Linked DNA regions of Ovis aries. The protein of the gene in region 2 interacts with the protein of the main gene of each other region in a pairwise test. Links are inferred from orthologs where the notes say so. Each region holds a gene or a part of one and is shown on either strand. Other genes may lie near its edges.

Region 1 (4,449 bases), on a different chromosome or scaffold from region 2:
TTCTCAGGCACAGCCTGAGAATTTGGAGCAGGCTTCCCCAACTAGATGACCAGTGCTGTCTTCTCTTTGCAGAGGCATCTTGCCTGTCGTCCTTATTTCTCATTCCATGCCCATCAGAGATAGATAGGAGTAGGAGTTTCCCTGTGTCACAGGGCCGGAGCACACACTGGTAAGAGCTGGAGGTGGCAAGGCATCAGGAGCCTGAGCTCCTTCTCAGCCCCATTCCACAGCAGAGGTCTTGGGGACATTACTAATCCATCTGGTGTTTTGCTTCTCTTCTGAAAGGTGAGAAGACTGGACCAGATGTTCTCTAACCTCCTTTCCATCTTAGTTTAACGAGTATTCTAAATCCACAGTTTCCAAAACTATGTCCTGAAACTTTAGGAGGCCGATGTTCAACATTGTCATCTTCCTGTCCTGAATTTCACACAGAGGATTTCCCTTTATTATCAAAAGCAGCGCATGATTGTCTCTGAGTGAAGTGGGACTACCCTCTGTAAAATGCCTAACGTCTTCCTCCAAGCTTTCCAGCGGCTGCAAAAGAACCACCCTAATGTGGATGACTGGTTGCCCACTCTTTAAAAGCTTAAATATAACCTATTAAAATTTTAAATCAGGTCTGACTCTTAAGTAATTTTTTTTTTTTTTTTTTGCTATTGCTAAGTCACTTCAGTCATGTCCGACTACGTGTGACCCTATAGATGGCAGCCAACCAGGCTCCCCCATCCCTGGGATTCTCCAGGCAAGAACACTGGAGTGGGTTGCCATTTCCTTCTCCAATGCATGAAAGCGAAAGGTGAAAGTGAAGTCACTCAGTCATGTCCGCTTAGCGACCCCATGGACTGCAGCCTACCAGGCTCCTCCATCCATGGGATTTTCCAGGCAAGAGTACAGAGATTAAATAGGAGAGCAAGGATCTTTCCCAGCAACAGCTGTGTCTGTCTGCACCTTCCCTTCTCTCCTGAGGAGCTATAGCCACCGCCCTGTACATGGGAATCAGGAGGCCTGAGGAAGGGGGCAGGCCTGGAGCCAGCTGCTTGGGGTGTGGGGGGTGGGCAAAGGTCCAGGGTTGTACATCTGTGTTTCTCTTTCCAAATTCAAGCAGAAATTAGTTTTGAATTTTTCTGTGATACTTAACTAATTTTGAACAGTTAAACTCACTTCATATTTTAGGGCAGTTTCAAGAACCAAAATGACAAGAGATTTCAGAATTGGTTAGGATTTCTCTTCTATAGTCTATATATGCCTAAGAATAAGGTGGAATTCAAGGTACTCCTCCAACATGGTTGGTGCTGAGGACTGTTTTTAGAAACTCAACGTGCAAGCATAAAAAAACTCACCTATTTGCTTCTCCACAGATGATGCTGTATGCCTCTGGCTGGTGGACTGGCAAAAGAGAAAAGATACATAATAACTAGATAGCACATTCAAAAGCAGAGACATTACTTTGCCGACTAAGGTCCGTCTAGTCAAGGCTATGGTTTTTGCAGTAGTCATGTACGGATGTGAGAGTTGGACTGTGAAGAAGGCTGAGCGCCGAAGAACTGATGCTTTTGAACTGTGATGTTGGAGAAGACTCTTGAGAGTCCCTTGGACTGCAAGGAGATCCAACCAGTCCACTTTGAAGGAGATCAGCCCTGGGATTTCTTTGGAAGGAATGATGCTACAGCTGAAATTCCAGTACTTTGGCCACCTCATGAGAAGAGTTGACTCACTGGAAAAGACTTTGATGCTGGGAGGGATTGGGGGCAGGAGGAGAAGGGGACGACAGAGGATGAGATGGCTGGATGGCATCACTGACTCAATGGATGTGAGCCTGAGTGAACTCCAGGAGTTGGTGATGGACAGGGAGGCCTCACGTGCTGCAATTCATGGGGTCGCAAAGAGTCGGACACGACTGAGCGACTGAACTGATGAAGTTCTTTAAGCAAAGGAAGAAGAACTGTCAAATAAACTAAGCACTGGAAAGGGAATCTAAGCACCCAGAACCTCTCCTAACTCAGACTCTGGCCAAGCAATTGTGCCTGTCCATGCCTCAGTTTTGTGATTTGAAATAGTTCTAATAATTTTAAGCACTTTCAAGGAAATTTAGTTTGTGCATTTGAACAAATTCACTTCTCAGATGCCAAGTCCCTTTTCTTTCTTGAATCGAGTATGAGGTAGGTAGCAGAGTTCTTCCTCTCTCAGATGATCAGCCAACTGATCATCTGCCAGTCCTGATTTGATCCTGATCCCTCCCAAGATAGAAAATATTCCTTCCACCCATTTGAGCCCCCATTTCTCTGCAGGCAGAACAGGATGGCTAGCGTGATTCATTTCTAAGACAGGAAGAAAGGATTGAGAAGTATGCTGCAAGCCAAGTGTGGTCCATGTGGATTTCTGTCGCCCTCCTCCCCCACTGCAGCAGGGCAGTTTCACCCCATCCCCCACCTCCGCACATTCCAGGGTGCGGCAATCCCCCAGGCAGCTTACCTCTCTGAGTTCGGCCAACTCCTTCTGCAGATGGAAGAGCTGAAATATCCCCAGCCCCAGTCCAACCAGGGCCACCAGAACCATGAAAAACACCACAAGGAGACACAGGCCTGTGTTGTGGCCCCTCCTCTTCTTCAGAGGTGGTGGCGGTAGTGGAGGCAGGGGTGGCGATGGCGGTAGTGTTGGGGGTGGCGGTGGTGGTGGCCTCCTTTGCCCCGGCCTTCCTGGCACTGAGGACGGACAGGGGAAGACTGATCCTGGAGAGGCCCAGGGGGAGCTGGCACTGCTGTCCACCCAGAAGATTGAGGGGTATGGGTAATTCAAGGGCTGCTGCATGGTATCCAGTGCCTCAGGCCAGCCCCCAGCCAAGGGTTTTCCTCTTCCTCAGTCGTGCGGAGGCCCAGGTGTCAAGGGCCGGACTCCTATTTCTGACTGCTCATGAGAAGGAAGCCGGTTCTCTCTTTATAGAGTTTCCAGAACCAAGGGAAACACCTCTCTTTCGTTCTCTCTTTCTGCTTCTCAAAGAGACACCCACTCACTCTGCATCTGAACCTGAGAAGCTTCAAGAAGCTCAGAGCAAACCCCCGGAAGTTTCCGCCCACAACTTTCTGATGAAAGCTTTCAAAACCCCAGTCGCTGCTGCCCTGCTCCCTGAAAGGCTGGTAGGGTGGGCTCGTTGTCCTCAGGCCCTGAGACGGGGGTAGCGTCAGCGCAGCTCTGTAGGCTCCGGCCGCTGTTCAGCTACAAGGAGAGTGGCCTGTGGGGCGAAAGCACCGAGTCACGGCCAGAGGAGTCACTTCTGGGTCTTACCTTTGGCAGGAGGGAATCACCCCCTGCTGCCATCCCTCCCCCACACCCAAGTACTGTTTACCCTGACACAGCAAAGCACCGTAGTTTACAGGTTACAAACTTGCCTGCCTACTCTATAATAGATCAGAGATTGCAAACCAGTGGCCATATGCCTCACAGAGCCCTCAGACCTGCTTTGCTTGTGCCTTACAATGTTGTTTATTTCTATTTACCGTCCTCCTCAAAAAACGGGATAGTCCATAATGCAGACATTCATCTCTGTTTTGCTGAGTCTAAAACTTAGGCCAGAAAAGCACAAGATAAACCAACCACAGATGCCTGGGGCAAAAGATTACCGTTGAGACTCACAGTGGACTGCTGTTATGGACTGAATAGTGTTCTTCCAAAGTGTAAGCACCGAATCCCAATCCCCAGTGTAATTGTATTTGGAGATAATGCCTTTAAGGTGTAATTAAGGTTAAATGAGGTAGTCTGAGTGGGACCCTAATCCAACATGATTAATGTCCTTATAAGAAGAGGTAGAGGGCTCCCTTGGTGGTCCAATGGTTGAGAATCTGCCTTGCAATGCAGGGGACACATATTCCATTCTTGCTCTAGGAAGATCCCACATGGCATGGGGCAACTAAGCCCTACAGCTGCAACCACTGAACCCACGTTCCCTAGAGCCCATGCTCTACAAAGAGAGAAGTCACGGCAATGAGAAGCCCATGCTTGTCTACAACTAGACAAAGCCCACACACTGACAAGGAGCCAGCATAGCCAAAAATAAAGAAATAAATACTTCCTGAAAAAAAGAAGAAGCGGTAGAGACAGCAGGGAGGCATATGTACACAGAAAAGGCCAAGTGAGCACACAGCAAGAAGGTGGTTATCTGTAAACCATGAAAAGAGGACTCAGGAGAAACCAGCCCTACTGACTCTTTGATCGTGGACTTCTATCATCCAGAACTGAGAAAATAAACTTTTGTTGTGTAGGCCATTCAGAAAAATTGGGATAGTCCATATATGTTATAGTCATATTGGGTTTTGAAACACTAGAATATTGGGCAGTCTGGAGGCCCTGTCTGCAAACCCAGTCAGCTGGAGTTGGGCCACTGTTGCAGCTCTCAAGGTCAGGACATGGGTGTGCCAGGCTGCCTGGCTTGCACACCCTCCACTGTGTTTCCCA
Region 2 (4,281 bases):
ACTCTGTCCTTGGGAAACTCGCTCTTTCACAACTGGAGGCAGGACAGGATAACTTTGTCTTCTGAATACATCGATATATATGTATATGGTGCTGGATATTGGAAGCCTAATTTCTTTCTTGCTGAGAGATTTTTCCTTTCTTCTTTCTGCTCCCTGCTTTTGCCATAAAAACTCCATTGTCTTGGTAGGTACCTTTGGGGGCCTTGGAGTTTCTCTCTCTCCTTTCAGTGTGTAATGTCTCACAGCAAGGGCTTTGATGGGCTTCTCAAGGGGTCATACACCTGGACCAGGAGAGCACCTAAAAGTCTGCACTCTCAGAGGGACAGCAATTAAAAGGACGTGAAAAATAATTTTATGTGGAAAATTTTCTGGTCTAAGCTCTGATCACTTTTATTACTGGGAAAGAATGCATACATGTGTATGCATCTATCTGTACTGACAGATGGATGGGTAGATAACTGCTCACCAGGGTGGCTGTAAAGTTTCCTCTCTCTCACTTTTATCACTAAAAAGAGCACCTGGTCCAGGGAGCACCCCCTCTCCCACTCGGTCTCTGTGCTCTGAATGGAAGGAAGCAGAAATCCTGGTGGAGAAAAAATAATCCCAATGAAGTCAAGTTCATAAGTGTGTGTCTGTCTGTGTGCCTGTGTAGGTGGAGAGATGTTAATTTATTTTGTAGTAAATTAGCAGTTTTGTTGGGTTCTTTGGGCAGAATGCACAGATAAATCACTACTGAGGAGGCTGGATTCCAGCCTGGGAAATTATAGCCTGCTTCTAAAGCACAGCCAGAATCTATTGACTTAGTAACGAAGTCAGTGTCAGAAAAAACATGGGTTTGAATCACCACTGAGCTGACTGCACACATGTAACAGTGTTTTTTACAAACATGCTTTCTCATCTCTAAAAAAGGTTTGACCACCTCAGCACTTCTGACCTAACGAAATTGGTTAAGAATCCAAATAAAAAAGAATAGCAAGAAGAACCACAATAGACAACGCATTTATGCAACACAAATGAATTGTTATTTTCAGTCTAACCTGCTTTTGGAAGGATTTTTTTTACACATTTAATTCTGAAATTATTATAGATTCACTGGAAGTTTCACAAAAGAATGTACACACAGTGGTCCCACACACTCTTCACACAGTTCCACCCAATGGAAACTGCATAAATTGTACAACATCAAAGCCAGGAGACACACTGGTATAATTCTAAGAGCTCATTCAGATTTCATAAGTTTGTATGCACCCGTGTGTGTATGTGTGTGTGTGGTGGAGGGGTTGCCATTTTCTTCTCCAGGGGATCTTCCTGACCCAGGAATGGAACCCACATCTTCTGCGCTGGCAGGTGAATTCTTTACCACTAAGTCACCTGGGAAGCCCGACAGGTGAGTATAGTTCTATGCAATTTTAACACATGAGAAGGTTTGTGTAACCACTGAAATCAAGTGTAGCTTCCTATTGAACCACTGAAATCAAGTACCTTCCTATTGAAAAAGCTTCCCAATGACTTAACAAACAAACAAACAACTTCTCCTTGTGCCAGTTGGTTAAAATAAGATTGGGGAGGAACTTCCTTGGTTGTCCAATGGTTAAAACTCCATGCTACCAAGGTTCCATTCCTGGTCTGGGAACTTAGACCCCATATGCTGCATGGTGCAGTCAAAAGATAAAACAAAAAAACTATGGGGAAAGGACAGATCTAGATAATTAGAATCTGCAAATACGTGATTATTATGAGGATATGAGCGAAGGCACAGGCACAGTTTCTAGTGCTGCAGAATCTGGACAGGTCTGCGGTTGTAGAATTTATCAGCATTTACTTCTGAGCTCTGATCATTGGTCACAGGCATTAACACATGTCCATCCCCCTCCATACTAAATAGCCTTTTAAGAGGTGTTTCTATTAATAGTTAAGAGGATCGACAGACTTAAACTGTACTTTCTGCAAAGATACACACAACGCTGAATAGGAAAATGGTTACTCTTCGGGGAAATCACATTGTCTACTGATAGAAATTCATGCTTAAGAAATTCATCTAGGCAACTATGACTTTAGGAAAAACACCCTTAGTTCCTAAATGGTCTTTCATGCCTGTATTAGTTTTACCAATTTTTTTTTCCCTCAAGCAATTTTGGTGGAAAGCAATCTATACTTTTTCATTGGTGGTGTTTTAGTCACTCAGTTGTGTTCAACTCTTGCAACCCCACGGACTATAGCCTGCCAGGCTCCTCTGTCGATGGGATTTTCCAGGCAAGAATACTGGAGTGGGTTGCGGGTTCTTTCTCCAGGGGATCTCCCCAACCCAGGGACTGAACCCGGATATCTTATATCTCCTGCATTGCAGGTGGATCCTTTACTGACTGAGCCACAAGGGAAGCCCATTTTTTTTCATTACTATATGGGATATAACTTTTATGTCAGAATATCTAAGCATTGATAGTAGCCATAGAAATCTATGGCTAGGTTTTCTGCTTTTTAAGACATTACTTCCTGAAACAAACAAAATGTAGTCATTTGCTGTTGTAAAGGGAAGCTGTTTATGTTGGAGAAAACTGGAAGAATCAGGTTATTATCAAAGTCCTAGTTTTTCTCTTGGGTTTAGTTTGGAAGCCTTTTTGATACATCTTCAATAAGGTAAAGTGAGCGCTGACACTAAAGCTTTCCTATGGTTTTGTATTCTTTCTGGATAAACCCTTTCCTTGCCAAGAACGGTCACGGACTGGGGAGATGGTCTTACCTTGACATTGTGCGTGGCTGTGGCACATCCTTCATTTTCCACGGTTTGGTGAACATTCACATTATATGGCTCAGCCCACGGCAGAGGCAGAAATCGTATCCTCCTCGATGGTCTGGAGAAATGTTTCTGGTGGCCCTGTTGGTTGTCTTGGGAAAGCCTGGGCATGTTTTTACAATAAAGCCTCAATCGAATCCTGTAGCTTGATTTTAACGGTACCAGCCCAGGGTCCACTCTATTTCTCTTCCTTTGGCTGGTGCTGGGCCATCGCTTCGTCTGCTGGGGGCCTCCCTGTAAAGTCGCATCCCTCGAAGCAAGAGGATTATCTGTGTTGTGGGTCAGCAGTTTATCCACAGTCCGTGGGCTCTATTCCAGGATGAGAGTCTCGGTATGTTCTGACTGCCCTCTACAGGTTGCAAGTGAAGTGAAAGTGAAGTTGCTCAGTTGTGTCAGACTCTTTGTGACCCCATGGACTGTAGCCTATCAGGCTCCTCAGCTCTACAGGTAGCAATGTACTCCTACTTCAAATTTAATGCTAAATCAAAACTGAAAGAAATGATTCAAGTGATATATTGCTTAGTATATCGTGATAAAGGAAATAAATCATGTGGTAATATTCTGCATTTGTAGTGTGTGATATGTGAAAAATTTGGACTATACTCTCGAGAGGCAGAGGAGCCATTTTATCTCAGTCTCGTAAAAGGTCCTTCTAGCAGCAGTCAGCTTTGTGGCTGGAAATGCTTGCTAAACTCATAACCACACTTCACTTCAAAGATTATTACTTTTTATTTATGTCTTGTAGAATTAATTGAGGACTTCCTTGGTGGCTCAGATGGTAAAGAATCCACCTGCAGTGCAGGAGACCTGGGTTTGATTTCTAGGTTGGGAAGATCCCCTGGAGGTGGTCATGGAAAACCACTCCACTGTTCTTTCTGGAGAATCCCCATGGACAGAGGAACCTAGTGGGCCACTGTCCATGGGGTCACAAAGAGTTGGACACGACTGAGTGACTAAGCACAGCACAGCACAGAATTAATTGAAGTAATTTCCTTGTGCGATAGTCATCTAACCATGAAGTCAAAACTTGGCTTCTACATCATACTTCCTTTTTGTAAAGTGCTTTATAAATATCAGATTATTGGACTTTCCCTGGTGGTCCAGTGGTTAAGTCTCTGCGCTTCCACTGCAGGGGGCCTGGGTTTGATCCTTGGTCAAAGGTATCTAAGGCCCAGGTGGCTTCTGCTGGGTCTGGAGGAGTACAGAGGTAAGGACCCCAGGTATGCATTGCTGGGGACTATGAACTGAAAGAACTTCCTTTCATAACATAGTCCCAGGCCCCTAAAATGGATATATAAAACTAACATAAGTTGGACCACACATCATGTTAAAAAATTAACTTGAAATCAATCATAGACCCAAGTTTAAGAGTTAAGATTATAAAACTTTTAAAAGGAAACTTAGGAGAAAATATTTGTGATCTCAGATGAGGCAAAGCCTTCTTAGACATGATACCAAAAAGCACAAGTGACAAAAAAAAACAAAAC

The links.
Region 1: the proteins of RGS20 (region 2) and FASLG interact in binary tests that used the Homo sapiens proteins (3 or more experiments, as listed by UniProt). The two-hybrid records come from large-scale screens. The link is inferred for Ovis aries from reciprocal best matches to the Homo sapiens genes RGS20 and FASLG.

Annotation. Positions count from the first base shown.
Region 1 is NC_056065.1:39,430,972-39,435,420, reverse strand, and holds the start of FASLG (tumor necrosis factor ligand superfamily member 6), read right to left. Parts: upstream 3,019-4,449; 5' UTR 2,809-3,018; coding exon 2,473-2,808; intron 1,387-2,472; coding exon 1,341-1,386; intron 1-1,340. UniProt on the Homo sapiens protein: Cytokine that binds to TNFRSF6/FAS, a receptor that transduces the apoptotic signal into cells. Involved in cytotoxic T-cell-mediated apoptosis, natural killer cell-mediated apoptosis and in T-cell development.
Region 2 is NC_056062.1:34,891,050-34,895,330, reverse strand, and holds the start of RGS20 (regulator of G-protein signaling 20), read right to left. Parts: upstream 2,980-4,281; 5' UTR 2,906-2,979; coding exon 2,733-2,905; intron 1-2,732. UniProt on the Homo sapiens protein: Inhibits signal transduction by increasing the GTPase activity of G protein alpha subunits thereby driving them into their inactive GDP-bound form.